Lytechinus pictus: one gene and its partner. The protein of the gene in region 1 interacts with the protein of each later gene in a pairwise test. Links are inferred from orthologs where the notes say so. Each region holds a gene or a part of one and is shown in the gene's direction. Other genes may lie near its edges.

The links.
Region 2: the proteins of vacuolar protein sorting-associated protein 51 homolog (region 1) and exocyst complex component 7-like interact in a two-hybrid assay, tested with the Drosophila melanogaster proteins (2 studies listed by BioGRID). The link is inferred for Lytechinus pictus from reciprocal best matches to the Drosophila melanogaster genes Vps51 and Exo70.

Annotation. Positions count from the first base shown.
Region 1 is NC_087256.1:24,415,677-24,425,699, forward strand, and holds the start of vacuolar protein sorting-associated protein 51 homolog, read left to right. Parts: upstream 1-6,164; 5' UTR 6,165-6,205; coding exon 6,206-6,295; intron 6,296-8,039; coding exon 8,040-8,128; intron 8,129-8,875; coding exon 8,876-9,032; intron 9,033-10,023. UniProt on the Drosophila melanogaster protein: May act as a component of the GARP complex that is involved in retrograde transport from early and late endosomes to the trans-Golgi network (TGN).
Region 2 is NC_087254.1:33,360,172-33,370,856, forward strand, and holds the start of exocyst complex component 7-like, read left to right. Parts: upstream 1-6,553; 5' UTR 6,554-6,774; intron 6,775-10,685. Other genes in the region: cytosolic Fe-S cluster assembly factor NUBP2 homolog, read left to right, coding at 191-294, 986-1,057, 1,652-1,734, 2,141-2,251, 2,644-2,713, 3,073-3,218. UniProt on the Drosophila melanogaster protein: Required for exocytosis. Thought to function in intracellular vesicle targeting and docking before SNARE complex formation.

The DNA of each region.
Region 1 (10,023 bases):
TACTCTTCTTTCCCCTTTTCTTCTCCATTTTTTTTTTTGTCTTTCCTTTCCCCTTTTTCTTCTCTTTTTTTCTTCTCTTCCTTTCTCCTTCTTACTCTCTTTTCTATTCTCTTCTTTTCCCATCTTCCTCTTTTTTTATTCTCTCCCTTTTCCCCTCTTCCCCCCCTCTTTTTTGAGCTGGGGGTGGGGGGGGTGAGGCAGTTCCCCCTCGGCCCCCCCATGGATCCGCACCTGATAGAACCCCATGGCCTCGTATCATTTGACCTTTGGACCTCTCGATGACATTTGATATATCTGATCATAATTTTACACACACTGCGGACTATCGGACCCGCGGTCTATCGGACCCGCGGTCTATCGGACCCGCGGTCTATCGGACCCGCGGTCTATCGGACCCGCGGTCTATCGGACCCGCGGTCTATCGGACCCGCGGTCTAACGGACCCGCGGTCTATCGGAGCCGCGGTCTATCGGGATGTCCCCGACATTTCAGAAACTTTTTAACATTTGCTAAGATTTGAAGTACACGAGACGACACTCAAAACTTCTTTTCTAAAATCTTGTACCATTATTTGAGAACTCGGTGTAAATACCAATAAATCATGTAATGGACCTCAGCACTCTTCATGTAGTCAGCATGTTCGATTGATACACGTTTGTAAAAAGTAAAACACACACATTAATTATACAATTGATTTATTTGTTTTCTCATGTCTTAAAGATAAAATAGACCTATGTTTTTATCATAAAGACCAGCCGCCATTAACAAATTTAATAAATATCATCCCGTGTCTTTTATTTGATCATGTAATGTTTAGAAACATAGCTGCTGCATAATTAGTGTGATTCATTTTTGTTTTGTCAAAATTATCTCATCGGCGATTCCGTTAAAAATGCCCTATAATGGGACCTATAGAGTTACATGTATATTTGTATTTTACGTGCATTAAAGCCACCGACAAGCTATGAATCGGCTTGGAGAAGACATGCACGCAACTATAATAGAGTCTATAACCATGGACCTACTAGTACACAGTAGTAACATACAGACAATGAGGCATTCAGCATGTTCAGGGTTTCACATTCAAACCGCTATACGCAATCTATAGCGTAACTTCAATTGAAACGGATTTTTCCTATTGTTAGCTGCTTTGTGATTTTCACACCTTCATCCATTGTTCTCAAAACGTGCTAGACGGCGTAATTGACCCAATTCAGGTTCAAGGGGTCGTTATATAGGATCGTTGACTTCAACCAAGGACCTATAGATGTACAGTGCAGGCACATTATGGCCCACTCTAGACCGTTGCATGAAATCACCCGAAATATGTTAAATATTCATGAATGCATAATGAGGGCGCGAAATCTGATGATATTATGGCCTGAAATCTGGACATTTCAAGCACCTTTGTAACTATAAATATGATGCATCAAGTTAATATATTTAATCATTAATGCGAACGCAAACCGTGAGCCAATTTTTTTGATAAACTGTCATGAAAAGGGGATTTCAAGTAGTTTGTTGTATAATCAATATTGAGACATACATAACTCGCCAATCAAAATGCAAGCGTGCAGCGCTAGCTGAGGCGCGATAGCTCAGTCGGTAGAGCGGGGGTTTCGGATTCCGGTGAACCGGGTTCGATTCCCAAGTGGTGCGCTAGTGCCCTTTGGTAAGGCATTTATCCTCATTACCAGGTCCCTCGGAGAGGACCTTAAGCCGTTCGTCCCCTGGTTGCTTGCTCACAGGCATTCGTGCTTTCTTAGCAGTCAGGTAAAACAACCTCGGTATAACCTTGATACGATTTGTCACCTTCAAACAATCTTAAAAGATGTCCTGATAGATCGCAAATAATTATGAAAGGCTACCAACTGACTTCTATTTTGTCTTATTTACGTTTCCAACTTGTCGAGAAAATGCATCTTTAATATTTCTTAACGGATAACAGGGGATCATAACGAAAGGTATATCAAATCTATTTTAACTTGTTGACCCCTAAAAACAGCTTTAAAACATGTTGTGATAGATCGCACACCCATTTGAGACGTTTGTGACTTCTATTGTTTTATTTACGTTTCCAACATCGTCAAGAAAAGACGTATTTAATATTTCTTAACGGAGAACAAGGGATCATAACGAAAGGTATATCAAATCTATTTTAACTTGTTGACCCCTAAAAACAGCTTTAAAACATGTTGTGATAGATCACACACCCATTTGAGACGTTTGTGACTTCTATTGTTTTATTTACGTTTCCAACATCGTCAAGAAAAGACGTATTTAATATTTCTTAACGGAGAACAAGGGATCATAACGAAAGGTATATCAAATCTATTTTAACTTGTTGACACCTAAAAACAATTTTAAAACATGTCCTGATATAGATCGCACACCCATCTGAGATGTGTTTGACTTCTATTCTGTTTTATTTACGTTTCCAACATCGTCAAGAAAAGACGTATTTAATATTTCTTAACGGAGAACAAGGGATCATAACGAAAGGTATATCAAATCTATTTTAACTTGTTGACCCCTGGAAAATTTTTCAATCATGCCCTGATAGATCGCACACCCATCTGAGATGTTTGTGACTTTTATTTTGTTTTATTTACGTTTCCAACATCGTCGAGAAAAGACGTATTTAATATTTCTTAACGGAGAACAAGGGATCATAACGAAAGGTATATCAAATCTATTTTAACTTGTTGACACCTAAAAACAATTTTAAAACATGTCCTGATAGATCGCACACCCATCTGAGATGTTTGTGACTTCTATTTTGTTTTATCTACGTTTCCAACATCGTCGAGAAAAGACGCATTTAATATCTCTTAACGGAGAACAAGGGATCATAACGAAAGGTATATCAAATCTATTTTAACTTGTTGACACCTAAAAACAATTTTAAAACATGTCCTGATAGATCGCACACCCATCTGAGATGTTTGTGACTTCTATTTTGTTTTATCTACGTTTCCAACATCGTCGAGAAAAGACGCATTTAATATCTCTTAACGGAGAACAAGGGATCACAACGAAAGGTATATCAAATATAATTTAACTTGTTGACACCTAAAAACAATTTTAAAACGTGTCCTGATAGATCGCACACCAATTTGAGATGTTTTATTTACGTTTCCAACATCGTCGAGAAAAGACGTATTTAATATTTCTTAACGGAGAACAAGGGATCATAACGAAAGGTATATCAAATCTATTTTAACTTGTTGACACCTAAAAACAATTTTAAAACATGTCCTGATAGATCGCACACCCATCTGAGATGTTTGTGACTTCTATTTTGTTTTATCTACGTTTCCAACATCGTCGAGAAAGACCTATTTAATATTTCTTAACGGAGAACAAGGGATCACAACGAAAGGTATATCAAATATAATTTAACTTGTTGACACCTAAAAACAATTTAAAAACATGTCCTGATAGATCGCACACCCATCTGAGATGTTTGTGACTTCTATTCTGTTTTATTTACGTTTCCAACATCGTCAAGAAAAGACGTATTTAATATTTCTTAACGGAGAACAAGGGATCATAACGAAAGGTATATCAAATCTATTTTAACTTGTTGACACCTAAAAACAATTTTAAAACATGTCCTGATAGATCGCACACCCATCTGAGATGTGTTTGACTTCTATTCTGTTTTATTTACGTTTCCAACATCGTCGAGAAAAGACCTATTTAATATTTCTTTACGGAGAACAGGGGATCATAACGGAAGGTATATCAAATCTATTTTAACTTGTTGACCCCTAAAAACAGCTTTAAAACATGTTGTGATAGATCGCACACCCATTTGAGACGTTTGTGACTTCTATTGTTTTATTTACGTTTCCAACATCGTCAAGAAAAGACGTATTTAATATTTCTTAACGGAGAACAAGGGATCATAACGAAAGGTATATCAAATCTATTTCAACTTGTTGACACCTAAAAACAATTTTAAAACATGTCCTGATAGATCGCACACCCATCTGAGATGTGTTTGACTTCTATTCTGTTTTATTTACGTTTCCAACATCGTCAAGAAAAGACGTATTTAATATTTTTAACGGACAACAAGGGATCAAAACGAAAGGTATATCAAATATATTTTAACTTGTTGACCCCTCGAAAAATATGTATCACCAATAAATATGAGATGCTACCAACTTCTATTTTGTTTTATCGACGTTTCCAACTTTTTCGAGAAAATGCATCTTTAATATTTCTTAACGGAGAATAGGGGATCATAACGGAAGGTATATCAAATCTATTTTAACTTGTTGACCCCTAAAAACAGCTTTAAAACATGTTGTGATAGATCGCACACCCATCTGAGATGTTTGTGACTTCTATTCTGTTTTATTTACGTTTCCAACATCGTCGAGAAAAGACGTATTTAATATTTCTTAACGGAGAACAAGGGATTACAACGAAAGGTATATCAAATATATTTTAACTTGTTGACACCTAAAATCAATTTTAAAACATGTCCTGATAGATCGCAAACTATTCTGAGATGTTTGTTACCTCTATTTTGTTTTACTTTCCTTTCGTCAATTACATTTCGTCATGGAGAACGGGAGTTCATAACGAAAGGCATACAAAATATATTTTCACTCGTTCGCCCCTCAAAACAATTTAAAAGCATGTCCTAATCCGCCACCGTTTTGCTTGCGCGACTCTCGTAAACACGGATTTTTTTTTTTTTTATTGGTACTTTGTACTGGAAGCTAGCCCCAGGCAACCCCTATTCCCCCCTCTCGTAGATCCGCCCGCACCTCACGCGCTGCATTCGCTGCAAAGCTTCGCTGCAAATGTTGATCCGACGTGCACGCCGAACACTGACCTCATTTTATGTGAAGTGTACGCTGGCGCGCTGTGTGTGTGTATGTGTATGTGAACCTGCACTATTCAGTGTATTCTCGTGCGACGCTCCGGCGGATTAGCCAATAGCGATCGAGATAATAATTGCCCCGTTCCCCAGCGTGTACGGATTATGCAAATTAGATTTAATGTAGAATATAACGGTACTTCGTACTAATCTCTTGGAACTCCTTTGCACACTCTCATTATGGAACAATGGCTATGCACGCGTTGGAACGCATTTGGGGTTTTGACGCCTCGCCTAAGCATTACAAGTACTTGATCGAATGCAGAGGAAGTTCAGCAAGAGCTGAAAACAAGGTTTGAAGTTTTGGGTTCACTCAAGCATAAGATGTGCATACTGTGTAATCTCAGTGAAACTTACAAGCAGTCCGAAAAAGTAGTGTCCAAGAAACTCTTGTATCTTTTCTTTTATTCAACTTCACAACTTCACGACAATTTTTTTACAGTATGAAGAAGAAGAATTGCTCTTTCAGATAAGCCATTTTTCTAATTTTTGTTTTTTGGAGACTAAATTACTATTTTGGCTATTTACAGAGAACCTAACCTGGCGACTTATTGGTGGTTTGGGGGTGGTAGGTCACATATGTATTCATGTGGTCATACTACCTCAGGTCTGATGAACCCATTCCTACAAAATTCAAGGCTCTAGATAGAATGACCCATATGTTGCATTCATTTCTGATGACAATGCTTTGTCAGTATCTACTTTGAATTATCCCAGATACTACTCTAAAAGTGCATACACAAGAATCTTGCCACCATGTAACCTGTTTTTATTATTTACATACATGTATATGCGAGCTTCAGTTTCTTATAACTCAATTTTTTGAAGGACCTATTCTTTGGATAATGTACCATATTCTTTAAAAATATGCCGAACCTTCAATTCATTCAAACATTATTACAAATAACATCTTTCAAGTTTGTATTCTTAATTTGCTGTATAATTACGCTATTCTGAATTTACGTGTTAATATTTGTTTTCATTTATGTTATCTGTTTTTGGAATATTAATTATTTTTGTCTTTATAGATGTTGGGTCAACGTTCAATAAGGCTACCTGCTCTTTTTTGTTGGCCCCTCATTCTCATAAATATGTTTTTTGTATGTCATAACAATGTTTTACTTCTATATCTTATGTATGTTTTTCATGTTTGTTTGTGTTTTTTTGAGAATGTAAATGAATTGAATTGAATCTATATGCTACTTGTAGACTTTGTGATGCAAATTCTTTGTCTACATGTATATCTACTTTGATTTCTCTCCCAGATACTACTCCAAAGCGCGTGTTGTCCTACTTCAGTACCAGCACATGCCTTCATTCCACGGTATCCATAGAGACTGCAATGAAATCGTCAATGAACTAAGGCTCAAGTTAAGAGAACAGTTCGGGAACAAAGAGGTAAATGTTCTATCATTCTTAAAAGGCTTAGTCCCACTCCACTTACGGATGCAGAGATGATGTAAAATGGAAAAGAATCTTGCCATCCGTTGGAAAACGTTTTGTATCCGTTGTGTACTCTTGGCATACATGTATCATACGCTCTATATCCATCGAGCATCCATCCACTGTTATTTCATTGTTCGCCCATCTTGTCCATTGTCTGGAGTGGATGAAACCGGATGGAGCCACCCCAAAATTTTGCTTGTCCGCTGTATCCGTTATGAATACGTTTTTGTGTCCTTCGGCCAGTGGGACCAGGCCTTTAGATTATTGGGCAAAAACTTTGCCGTAATACATGTAAACTTGAATCAAATATTCGCCAAGGTCAAACCAATTTTTTCATGCCAGATTAGGCTACACATCTTTTATAGACCTCTTCTAAGGCACATTTCTCATTTGAACAAAACAGATTTGTGGTCCGAATAGATTGGAATTAAGAAGCAAAGTTATCTGCATTTTGAACTGATTGTAAATAGCACTTCTGTTTACACTTTGAGTCGGGTAACCATATTTACCACATCATTACACTTTACTCAGATTGCAAAGTCAACCTGGAATTTTGATTGAAAATTGTTAGATTCTGTGTTATTATCTTTGAATTCAATCCTCGATCATATATTAAATTTTATCTACTCTGTAATTACTTTTACATAGTTATTATTCCATTGTCTGATGCTAAACAGCTTGCTTGATGTGTAGATCTGTTGCTTTTAACCAATAATTGTGTTATCACTTTCATACAATATTAATTTCTTAGTCTGATGCCAAACAGCTGGCTTAATGTGTAGATCTGTTACTTTTAACCAACTATTGTGTAATCAATTTCATACAGTAATTTTTATGGCTAGTCTGATCTAGGCAGAATGTTACACGTGTGTTTAACCAAATATTGTGTAATCACTAGTTTCATACAATGATTATTCCCTAGTCTGATGCTATAAAACCGCTAGCTGAATATGTAGATCAGTTTCTTTTAACCAACCATTGTGTAATCGCTTACAAACAATGATTATTCCCTAGTCTGATGCTAAACAGCTAGCTAAATATGTAAATCAGTTTCTTTTAACCAACCATTGTGTAATCGCTTACAAACAATGATTATTCCCTAGTCTGATGCTAAACAGCTAGCTAAATATGTAAATCAGTTTCTTTTAACCAACCATTGTGTAATCACTTTCATACAATGATTATTCCCTAGTCTGATGCTAAACAGCTAGCTGAATGTGTAATCTGTTTTTAACCGATGTTGTGTAATCACTTTCATATGAAGATTATTCCCTAGTCTAATGCTGAACAGCTATCTGAATATGTAGATCTGTTTCTGTTAACCGACCATTGTGTAATCGCTTACATATACATGTAGTATTTATTTCCTAGTCTGATGCTAAACAATGTGTAGATCTGTTGCTTTTAACCAACTGTTGTATAATCAATTTCATACAGTAATTATTATGGCTAGTCTGATGCTAAGCAGAATGTTACATATGTTTTTAACCAACCATTGTGTGATCTTTCATACAATGAATATTCCCTAGTCTGATGCTAAACAGCTAGCTGAATTTGTAGATCTGTTTCTTTTAACCAACCATTGTGTCATCATATACGTGTAGTAGTTATTCTCCAGTCTGATGCTAAACAATGTATAGATCTGTTGCTTTTAACCAAATATTGTGTAATCTTTCATACAATGATTATTCCCTAGTCTGATGCTAAACAGCTAGCTGAATGTGTAGATTTGTTGCTGCAACTCAAAGAACCACCCGATGAGCTCTTTGATGAGTTTCTTTCTCAGTAAGTATGAGTAATGACTTCTTAATGAATTGACAGCTTTAACTATGTAGACACTTTCTTATTATTAGACTTGTTTCTTCAAAGTAACTGTCATTGTAACTTTCAATATATCTGTAAAGCGCTTAGAGATGTTCCGATGTATTAATCGCTATATAAAAGCAGATTATTATTATTATTATCATCATCATCATCGTCAGGATCATCGTCATCATCTTTTTCACTTCATATTTCCTTTCTTTTAACCGCTTAGAGGCAATTTGTGGTATACAAAATGATTATTATTATTAATTATTATCATCGTCATCATCATCAATCATTATCATTGTGACTTTGCCATTCTATGGTAACAATGCTCAACAACCACTCAAGTCTAGGATTCCAAGGAAGTTACAGATGGATCTCAAAGGTACCATTATCGTGACTCTTCATTAACAGACCCCAATGGCCCGATGTATGAAATTTTACTATTAAAATCATCACTTCACTGGAAAAATGATATTGATTTGTAGGTATTTATTAAAGTATTGTTATCAAGGTAGTTGGCTAGTTGCATTAAAGATACCAAAGTTTCTGTAATAGTAGCTTTTTTAGGAAATTGGCAAGAGGTTATATTGTCCGTAAATGATGATATTGGGGATTTTTGGGGAGTGGGTTATGTTTATCTTTATTGAAGGAACGAAATAATTTGTTAATTTCATGTAATGAGTGTATTTAGACTAAATTTCGTGTCTGTGAATTCACTGACAGTGCCCGACACAAGTTGGATGAGAGTCTGAGGGAGATGTCAAGTCATGTGAAGACTGGTAGACAGCGGACCGCATCCAGCCCTGAGGAAGATGAGGATGGTGTTAGCAATCAGGAGGGGGAGAGACCCTCTGATAAGATCATGAGGTCACTTCCAATGGTGAGCCTAACTTTTGTTTTGATATGTTTCTCCCTCTGGGCCTCCATATCTTCATCGCTCTGCACATTTCTGTATTGTTGAAATAGAATATTTGTGTGTGTATTGTGGTGTTTTTTCAATATCCTGTGTTTATTGGCCTCTCTTTAAAGGAGAGGGACATCTCATAGTATACACATAGAATGCACGTAAGCGCATGCATGCAGGGCTAAATAATGAACGATGTGCGAGAAGAGCCAATGGATATTTGGCGAGTTGAGCACAGAGTTCATTATTTAGGTCCTCTATGCACAAGAATGCGTGCATTGTTTGTTTTGTACAACCCCCCCATGTTACTGAGTTGCCCCAAATGCTATATTTGATCTAAATTCTAGATAATTCCAGACCTCGCACTATCCTGCACTCTGACGTCAGAGTGCAGGATAGTGCATATTGGATGCAATAGTGCAATTCGCTGAATATCATGTGATCCGATTTGGACCAATCAGATCACAGAACACTCTTGGGAGTTGTATAAAAATATCTGTTTGATCGGGAGACCCAAGAAATGAGACGGATGATGGTTTCAATGTATATAGCAGGTTCTGTCTTATCGAACATTAATTCAAACATTAACGCGAGTTGTAACATTCTCCATATGAGTTTGAAAAGAATCCAGTAAATTTATATGTGTGAAAAATCATATCTGTCAAATGATTGTGGTAGAAAATGCGTAATTACTAAGATATTGAAACAATAAACATGGCTTTCCAGGCAATAAAAGCCTGGTCCCACATGTGGTTATCTGTGTTGGTGAGGTTCGGTGTGATCATTTTCAGCATAGATTTCATGGATTCAGAGAGTTAGGTTGATGTAGATGAACCTGATCTAGATCAGTGATGAAAGATGACAGTTAGCCTGAGCTGTAAAGACTTATGTTTGCTGCAGTTGTACTCATCTTCGAGAAGAAAGCTTCCTCAAGAGAAATTATTACAGGAAAATTCTGTGTAATTTG
Region 2 (10,685 bases), on another chromosome or scaffold:
AACATCACTCCCAAGATCAAATAAAAAGAAATTTGTTTTTAAAGATACAAAAAAAATTGTAAAATTATTTTAAGAAGAGGTGTATTTCTGTTTGATCAAACATAAATTTGTCCAGATGCCGATAAGGAGAATAATCAGATATAACCAGGAATGTTAAATTTCTTGTTTGATCACTTTGATTCTTTTGCAGATGGGTACCTGTTTACCCTGATCCATCTTTAGCAATCATGTCAATCAGCTTCCTTCTCGGTAATCAAGATGATGCGGTGGTGTGGAGGGGACCAAAGAAAAATGGTATTGTTGAAATGATCATTCCTAAGTAATACCTGTATTCAGAAGTATATAAATTCATTGTAAAAGTTTACTTTTGTAAGTAACGGTAGTGAATATGCACCCCTGCTTACGTGTAGGATAAAAACAGAAAATATTTACAAATTAAAGTTGGGTATTTCATAAACAACTTACAATGATAGTAACTTGATATTATGGCTACTACCATGGAAACGGGCCCTGCAGCCAATCAAAATCAAAGTTTCCATGGTACTAGTTTGTAAATGGAAAAGTAACCATTGTTTTGTCTTCATGATATTGGCCCCAGGTTTCTACATTTTCATGCTTCTTTCATCAGGAGTCTTGTTTGTGATAAAGAAAAAAAAATTATTGAAATCATTTGATTTGACTTGAATACTTTTCATTCTTTTTAAAACAAAATCTCTTATCGGTCCATGTCTAACAAATTATAAAATTCATCTGACTTAAAAAGCATATTACATTATAGAACAGGAAGATATTTTCTTCATGACTCCTGTGTTGGCATAGGTTGGTCCTATAACTCTGGAACTAGTATTAGTAGTATTAAATTGTGTGATGAAGAAAACTATATCAAAGAGTTTAAGAAACCATGAGAGATGAGTGCACGTACAATATATCTGCAAGTATTTGCTGTTGATTTTCACATCCAGCGTCTTTTTTTTCTCTCTTTCAGCAATGATAAAGCAGTTTCTGACTGATGTTGTATGGGGTGAATTAGACTACCTTATTATAGATACACCACCAGGTTGGTATGATTCAGAAAGCAAATTATGAAAGTTTGGTAATTGGTTGTCATTTCATTTTACTCATTTTATTTTACATAAATTCTTTAGCATTTACATTTTTTTTACTTTTCCCTTTTTTCTTTCTTTTCCCTTTTTTCTTTCATTGGCAATGGAAATGTATCAGAAATTGTTATTTGAATAATGTATTCACATGTAAAATTGCCATTATCCAAATCATGAGCAACCTTATTTTGTACATTGTTGGAATGTTTGAGCAATTGATTTTGAAAATATTTAGATTATTTATTTAATGAAAAAGAGTTGAAAAATATATCTGTTGTAAGGGGTTATTTTGCCTCGAAATCCCCCTATTTTTATTTTTTTTTCCACATGGGATCAAAGCAGTGCATTGACCAAGATTTAAAAAAAATGATACTGACTTCATGAATCAACATGTCAGAATTTTCAACATGCTGGCATTTTTGTATGAATCATTGCCTGATTGTAACAGTAATTTTTGGTGTAGTGATTTCTTGAATCATTGTGTTATATTGCATAATCTGTTCATTGTATATTTACATAATCTATTACAAAATCTGCTTATTTTATAACAGGTACATCAGATGAACACATCACAGTGGTAGAGAATCTCCAGTCTCATAACCCGGATGGTGCTGTCCTTGTTACAACTCCTCAGGTAATTCAGGCTGGCCTATGACAGTTGTTACCTTTTATTTCCCGATTTATAGGAATCCCATGCTTTTTATAGTATTGCCTTATACATTCTCGTTATTTTCATTTACAATGGAGAGGGGAGAATTATATGAAACCATTTTGAATCATCACCTAATTTCATTTGGGAGTTATCCAATAATAGGTTTCTTTAATTTTGACACTGCTCTTCTATTGTAATGTATTCTTCCCCCCTGATGGATTCCCCTCATTTTAACAATTCCTAAGCCCTCATTTGCATGTTCATAATTTGCTCAAGAATCATTTCTTTGCCCTTGTACCTATCATGAAAAATGAATAAGATGGATTATTAGATCATTTTAGATGTGTGATTAAGCTATTATAATATTGTGGGGTTTTATCCTCTGCAGGCAGTAGCTGTAGGTGATGTTCGAAGAGAGCTAACATTCTGCAGGAAGACGAAGCTAAGAGTGTTGGGACTGGTAGAAAACATGAGCGGGTTTGTCTGCCCTCACTGTTCAGTAAGTATCTGCTTGATGATACATAAGGGAAAATAATGCATTAACGTACCCAGCCCTACCCTAAAAATATCCCTGACCCTACGTTTTTTCCTTTGTACAGTTATCGATAGAATCAATATCACATATCTTGCTGACTTTGCGATCGAATTGAAAAACGGAAGTGACGTGTGTTTGAGCCGGTGCATGAAATATCTCAGGCTTTGGTGTATGGGTAACCAGTTAATACAACAAATTGATCCTGTCTTTAGTGAGTTGTTTGTATGTATGCATGACTTGTGTGTGTATGACTGCGAGTGTTGGGGTGTATGTGTAGATATTGGTATCAAATACACTTTTCAATTTAAATAATTTTCACTCTTCTCCCCCCCCCCCCTCTTTTTTCTTCTTTGAAGGAGTGTTCCAATGTGTTCTCTCAAGGAGGTGGTGAATCACTGGCAAAGGAATGTCAAGTTCCCTTTCTAGGTAAAGATGGTTTTGCTTTTGAATTTATTGTTCTTTTTATTTCAAATGATTACCATAATAAAATAGCCACTATTTATATTTACATTTCTTAGATTAATTACCATAATGAATACCTCAGATTAGAAATAAGAATGAAGAAAAGTGGTCAGCTTGAAAATATTGATAAACAAATTACAAATTATAAATAACACATAAAAATGAAAATGAAGGGCTTATTAGAGATTAAAGATGATAAATTGAAAGTTACAGTGATATTTAGTAATTTAAAGGGGAATAAAATATTATCCCAAGAAATCAGGTGTTTTCAGAGAGCTTATTTTTACATACATGAGTCTTCTTTCATTTTGTGTATTTCACAGGTAACATTCCACTGGATCCTCAACTTGCGAGCTGCTCTGAGGGTGGTCAGGGCTTCATAGAGGCCTTCCCATCATCCCTGTCAACACAAGCCATCCAAAGCATAGTTGAAGCAGTCATAGCAAGCACCGATACAAGTACGACGTGACACATGCTGCCTGGCTACGGGAATACAAGTACTAGGAACCGTTTATATAGTTTTAATAGTTAGGAATAATCCATTGCCAGCAGTGCATGGCACAGAACCTTGTCAGTGCTCAACAGGCTCTCAAAGTCTGAGTGACAGAGGCTTCGCAGACCATATGATGGAGAATGAAATACCATTGGTGAGAAAAAGTGAACAGGATCAAAGATGAAGTATAATGAAGATACAGCCATATTCAGCTCATTATTCACCTTGTTAATCATCTTTAATACATCAAAGGAATTTATGATTAGTCAGACTGTATCTTGAAGGTAGTGGCTGAATTGCTCACAATTTGCATTCTACAAACTTATATCATTTTAACTCAGTTAAACAAATGCATGAGAAATTTCTGATAAACCTGATTTCTTCTCATTATGGCACAAATGGAACAAACATGGATAAATCCTTACCAGATTTTATGATGATAATGGCATTCTTGGTTTATAAAGCAGTGTCATTGAAACCTCCAGAATTGATTAGTCCTTCAATGGTTTGAATATTTGAGCTATTTAGTAGAGTGCTTCTGTTATCACTCTATTCAAATGTTTGATCATGATTATTCTGCAACTCAGAATTTAACCATGTAGCCATGATTCAAGTATGTTTTACCCCCATTTTGCACACAACAGATACAATTTTTTTCTTTTAGAAAGTCCCCTCGTTTTTTCTTTCTTTTATTTTTTGCAGACAGGGGTTGCATTCCAGGTACATTTTGGCTAAACCATCTCCCTTTAAATGCAGAATATTACAAAATAGAACCAGAAAAATAATTGATTACGAACTCATTAAAACAACTTTTTTTCCTCAAAATTTGATGCATTCGTTGTAAATAAACATGCCCAAAAGACCCCTCTTTACACTGTAGACAGTGGAAGATTTTGTAATCCTCTTGGTCGAATGAGCATTTGGTCAAACAATCACGTTGTCTAATACTTATGTTGTTACCAATAACACTGAACATGAAGAGTTTTAAGTTTGGACATATCTTTAACCAAGTTGAAATGAATTATTTCAAATTCAGAGTTGAAGTCTTTAATTACTAGAGTGATGATGAAAATATGTTTAGCTGATTCAAGCAACTCCGCTTCCTCTGTCATGTTATCCATTTCAATGTTAACATTATTTTTTACCAGTTTGTATTCTTTTGAATACCGGCCAAGGTATATTTATTCAATTTCATCCCGGAGTTTATTTACATACTTGAATTTTTTTCATATGAAATTATTTACCACGTCAAAGTTACAAAAATTCTTGACATAAATACAAATTATATCAGTCAAACACATCTGATGTAAAGACCTAGATTTATTTGTTGTTGATTGTTGTTTTTCTATTCTTGACTTGTTCCATTACCCTTAATTTATTACACTTTCTGTAAGACTGTTTTATAAAGCTATCTGTTAAAAAGTGATATTTTTGCATACTTTATAATTGAGATTGCAATATTATGTACATGAATGTATAAAATTTGAATAATTTGAAAAATGATTAATGAAGTTCAGTTGTATTGATTTGACAGAGATTACTTAAAGAATTTGGGTATTTCACAATCTGTTCATTATCATGAGAGGCCTACTTATCAATTTTGGAGTCAGCAACGTTTTCCCAGATAGCACAGGCTTCAAATGAAAATGGAAAAATTAAAGAAATACCGGTATTTAACTGAACAAAGAATCCCAAGTTCATGGAAGAAAAAGGATCGATTATTATAGCTAGCAGTGAGATCCTAGGAAAATAGTTTTGAATTAGGGGCCAGTAACACATAGCTCAGCAATCATCATAGAAAGAATATCTACAAATGATTGCATCGACTACAATGTGCAATCAATCTAAAAAATCAAGCTTATGATTAATTGCTAATGTTTGTGTTACCGAACCCAGGAGAGAAACATGGTGTCTAATGCAGGGTGTTTAGTGCACTGTGGTTGACCACTCTATCAGGATTAACATGGAGGAGTGACATGATATGGGTGAAATGATTGTTAAATGAGTGAATACAAAAAGTGATGCTTTTGGTAAGAAAAGGAGAGTGGAGATGAATGTGGATATTAAAGTCAAAGCATAAGTAAGGTTGGGTGTATTCAATTGTTATATTAGAGTCACTTTGCAAAAGGAGTTGCAATCAGACGCAACTAAAAAAATCAATTGCAACTTGGATTTTCAATCAATGAAAGGAGCGTATTAGAGACTTGATTTGGATTCGAATTCAAATCTTTCTGCTTTTTTTTACGAAAATAACTAATTTCTTAATTTTTTTTTGGTGAAAACCTTTTTTTTTGGTCAAATTTTCATCGGATGAAAACTCCCCCCCCCCTTTTTTTTTTGCTTGTCAAGTTTTCAATCAACTCAAAAATCCTGCGTACACTACTGTTTGCAGCAATATTCCCCAACCATCTTCAATCAATTTAATCAGTCCTATCTCTCCCTACTTGCTTCTGTATTTAGGGTTGTCCGTAGTTTCTCAAACCAGAAAAATGAATTCAAACAAAAGAAAAAAACAAGTAAAGGATTTTAATTAAATTTCCAACCAAATAAAAAAAACTAATGTTTACAGTTTTCTAATAGATTAGAGTGTTACTCCAGTCTGAAAATAACATGATCTTTGGAGCAAGAAACAAGAAAGCTTCATCAAAATCTATTTTAAAAAAGTTTATAATATCAATATTTTTTTTTATTTGTGCAAAATTTTGATCTAAGTGCTCTTCCAATTTTGATGAAACCATATCAGTGTTTTGTTTCTCTGATATTTACCATCTGTTCTAATGTTATAATTTTCAGCCTGGATTATCCCTTTAAAACTCATAATTTTGTATGCATTTCTTCTGAGCTAACACATTCTCATGAACTTTACACACACACATATAATACCATTCCATTATTTTTAAAATCCTTGCCTCTGTGCATGCCTGATAGGGGTGGGTATAGGCAGACAGAGGAGTAATTAATTGCTACCTCTTCCATCCCAAGTATTTAAAAATAATGATTTTAGCAATTTTTATGCAAATTGTCTAAAAAATATCCTCCCAAATTAAGTGTGCATGGGATCAAGCCCATGCAGATGCCATAATAAATCCTGCAATTATACTTCATAGGCCTAAATCAAAATGTAAAAAAAAAATATTAACTCCCAGCTTGTTTATGTTTCTGAATACTTTTAAATTTTCTTGCCACTATCAAAATTCCAAATTGTGGCCATGTCCCATTATCTTGTTGTATTTCTGTGTTTTAGGGTTTGTCTGCACTCGAGTCACCAAGATTCTGGCTGTGATGTCATTTTTCTTTGTTGTTCTGAAGACACTGTATGTTTAAATTTTTAGTAGAAATTGATCGCTGTATTTATTCGACGGGGTGTTGGAAAACCAATGGAGTACGCTGTTGAAGTAACAGCAGATAGACGTAAGGGTACCGTACCCGGTACGTTTGTTATGTGGATTTACGTGAATGGGTCAGGCCAGGAAGAGGTCAATCATAGATAGGATCGCCGAGTTTGCATGCAGTAATTTTTGATTTTCCACTGGTATGTATTTTGTTTGATTTTATGTGCTTGTACATTATAGTCTACTTTTCTGTTAACCCAGAGAGCTCCCGCCCGCACAGCGGGCGGGAGCCCAGAAGCTTACCGTGTATTTTACCATTGTCACCGGACTAGGGTGATTTATGGTCTAAATATTTCTCCAAATGAATTGTGAAAACAGAAAGTATACAATTACCATGATTATATGGATGAAGGTCTAACGAGTGGCAGATTCCTGACATCTGGGCACAGTCTGGAACCTCAAAAAAACGAAAAGTTCTCTCCTTCTACCCCGTCTCGATCGGCCATTTTTGTTAAAAATCGTAACAAAATGGCCGATCGAGACTGGGTAGAAGGAGAGAACTTTTCGTTTTTTTGAGGTTCCAGACTGTGCCCAGATGTCAGGAATCTGCCACTCGTTAGACCTTCATCCATATAATCGTGGTAATTGTATACTTTCCGTTTTCACAATTCATTTGGAGAAATATTTAGACCATAAATCACCCTAGTCCGGTGACAATGGTAAAATACACGGTAAGCTTCTGGGCTCCCGCCCGCTACGCGGGCGGGAGCTCTCTGACTCTGGGTTACTTTTCTGTTGGATTAGTTATTTAGCTCTGATTTTGTTAGAACTCATGACTGAGTCTTAACTTAAGACTTTTTAGCTTTGTCTTTGTTGCCGTTGGGAGGAGCCTCTCTGGGCCTGGACTGGCGGACTGGCTGCTCGCCTCTGCTACTCCGTCTCTCCGGGAAGCTCCGGGCTGCGTAATCCATGGGTCTCCGATCTCCGTTGCGTCTCAGTCACAGAATGAAAATCGCGGCGCTAGCTCTAGCGCAGCATAAATAATATGAGTGGGGTTGTTTTTGTATGGTCAGTTCCCCCATGTCTGCGCGGTCTCTCAAGTCTGCGCACCCGCGTATCTGCGCGATTCTAGTAAAAGAAGATACGCAACGAGCAAGAACTTTACACATGCAATACATAGACAGGTATTCATAAAAAATCTGACTCAAAATGGTGGAAAAATAATGAATTCAGGGCATTTCATGTGACGGCCTCAAAATGCAGCCTTTGTCATCAAAATCCCCAAATCGTGAAAGTGAATGAGTGCGCAGACATGGGGTACCATTTTTTTTTCAATCTGAAAATGACTGCCCAAAGGTTTTTTCAAGAAAATCTTATATTTTCTTTCATTTTTTAATGAGAAATTTGGTACACTTACTCTTAATAATATAAGGAACACTATTAACCAAAAGATTTTGTGAAATAAGAAGAAATTCATGTTAAATCTTAACTCAAATTGTTAGGTGCGCAGACTTGGGGCCCACCATCATAAATAAGGCGCTAATATTAAATGCAGTTTCAGACTTACACATTCATTGGCCAACAACCTGACGTCTTTGACTATGAAAGTATGATCAATGATGATTGATGGTGCCTTGGGCTTGGTGGCCAAGTCTGCGCACCTACCAATTTAAGTTAAGATATAACAATAACTAGACCAAAAGCTTCAGTCTCTGTATTTTGGTTGTTCCGCTGAACTACGTTGGCTCCACTCACCATACATAGACTGAAGGGGATGGGGCCCCGTACCTACAGCCAACGTATAGTGAACTAGCGTTTTATAGATCGCGATTTAAAACTGTTTTTTAAGCAAAATTGAAAGTTTCATGGTTTCCATTATCAGGGAAATATATATAACTTAAGTAATTGCATACCTTGGGCCGGAGTTATTGAAAAAAATCCTCTGGATGATTGAGAAATCTGTCATCTAAGACATTTTCACCTGACCTGACGGTTTTTCTTGCAAGTTGCCATCTTGAATGACGTCATTGTCGTTATTAACTTAATGTCTCGAATCGATATATCGCGATTATAACTAGTACTCGTACTAGTATAACTAGTATCGTTTATCTTCGGTTTCGTTCGCATATGGAGCAGATCGTATAATATCGAAAGCAATATCGATATCACATTCGTGATTGTTGACGTTCGTTTGTAAATATTTTATAGTTTGGCTGCCATTTTGACCATTTTTATCGTGTTCAACCCAATTAAACATCGGTAAAGTATATTTTTCATGCCTTTTTCATCTATATCGTTTAAAGTATTTAAATGTTGGAATATCATCAATTAAAAGTTTGTTGTTTATACATCCTTAGATTGTAAATTCGATGTGTAAAATTACATCAAACTTTGGACTGTGAATTGACAAAAGGGAGGGAATGAGAACACATGCGAGCCCACACGTACACCCTACCGTCGGTAAATGGGGATTACAGTAAAATGTCAGAAATTGTTGAATAAATCCCCAGAAACGACGGATATTCCTGTCTAAACAATAACAACATGATTCATGAATTACTTTTTCTTTCACAAAATCTTTCAGTTAACATTAAAATAATGATGTTCCTTATTTATATTATTATGAGTAAGTGTACCAAATATCTCATAACAATTTGAAAGATATAGGCCTAGGCCTATAGGATTTTCTTGGAAAAAACCTCGGGCTGTAATTTTCAGATTGAAAAAAAAAATGGTACGGTACCGTTACCCCATGTCTGCGCACCCATTCACTTTGCACACGATTCAGAGATTTTGATGAGAAAGGCTGCATTTTGAGGCTGTAACATGAAATGCTCCAAATATATTATTTTTCCACCATTTTGAGTCAGATTTTTTAATGAATATCTGTCTATGTATTGCATGTGTAAAGTCTGTGTTCGTTGCGTATCTTTTTCTACTAGAATCGCGCAGATACGCATGTGCGCAGACAAGGGGGACTGCGCAGACTTGAGGGAACTTGCCATACTTGAGTCAGGAAACTTATTTCACCTCAGTCAAATTTTGTCTGAATTTTTGCCAAAAATATCGCAAAGGCTTTGCCTTTGATCCCTTAACAGGTAATCATGGTAATGGTTAACCCAGGGAGCTCCGGCCCGCACAGCGGGCCGGAGCCCAGGGGCTTACCGTGTATTTGACCATGATACTCACGGGACTAGCGTGATTTATGGTCTAAATATTTCTCCAAATGAATTGTGAAAACAGAAATTATGCACTAACCGCAATTATATGGATGAAGGTCTAACGAGTGGCAGTTTCCTGACATCGAGGCACAGACTGGAACTTAAAAAAAACGAAAAGTTCTCTCCTTCTACCCCCGTCTCGATCGGCCATTTTTGTTATGAATCGTAACTCCCCAGAGCTCCCTGGGTTAGGTAATGGTGTGTGTAGTCTGTAGACAGCTGGCAGCCGTCTGTTTCAAGGAGTTTTTTAAACATTTTAATTTTTTTTCTTCGTACACAGACGGCCTGCGATCGTGCAGCCGCCATTAGGGGGTTAACAATGCAAAATCCCCCCGACGGGGCTCATCGATTTTTGTCTTTATTTCATGAAAATATATAAAAAGAACTGGACCTAAATAAAGATTATTCTATTCCGTTTTGGCCTGAAATGCACCAAAATGGGAAAAAATAAACTTAAATAATAATAATACTATTCAGTTCTTTTATAGCGCATAACACATAGCAACGCATGTCCCTATGTACTTGGATGAAATTAAGGAAAGAAATTAAAAAGTACAATGTACTTCGGCTGTCGCGCAACTCCCACTTCCCTGGTTTATCCGAACTTAATACATAAACATATGGCCATTGAGTCCCTGTACAGATCGAGTTAGAACTCTGGTCTCTGTAATTGGTGAGTGGAGCCAACGGAGTTCAGCGGAACAACCAATATAACAGAGACCTAAGCTTTTGGTCTATGGCAATGTGAACCCCTACCCTACGGCCTACAAAACTCCTAAGTATTGGAAACAAAACGAGACCATTGACAAGTATTCCCTGAATGGGCACCTAAACAAGTACAACGATATCTTAATTGTTATGTCACGGACGTGATCATGGATGTCGGCTTT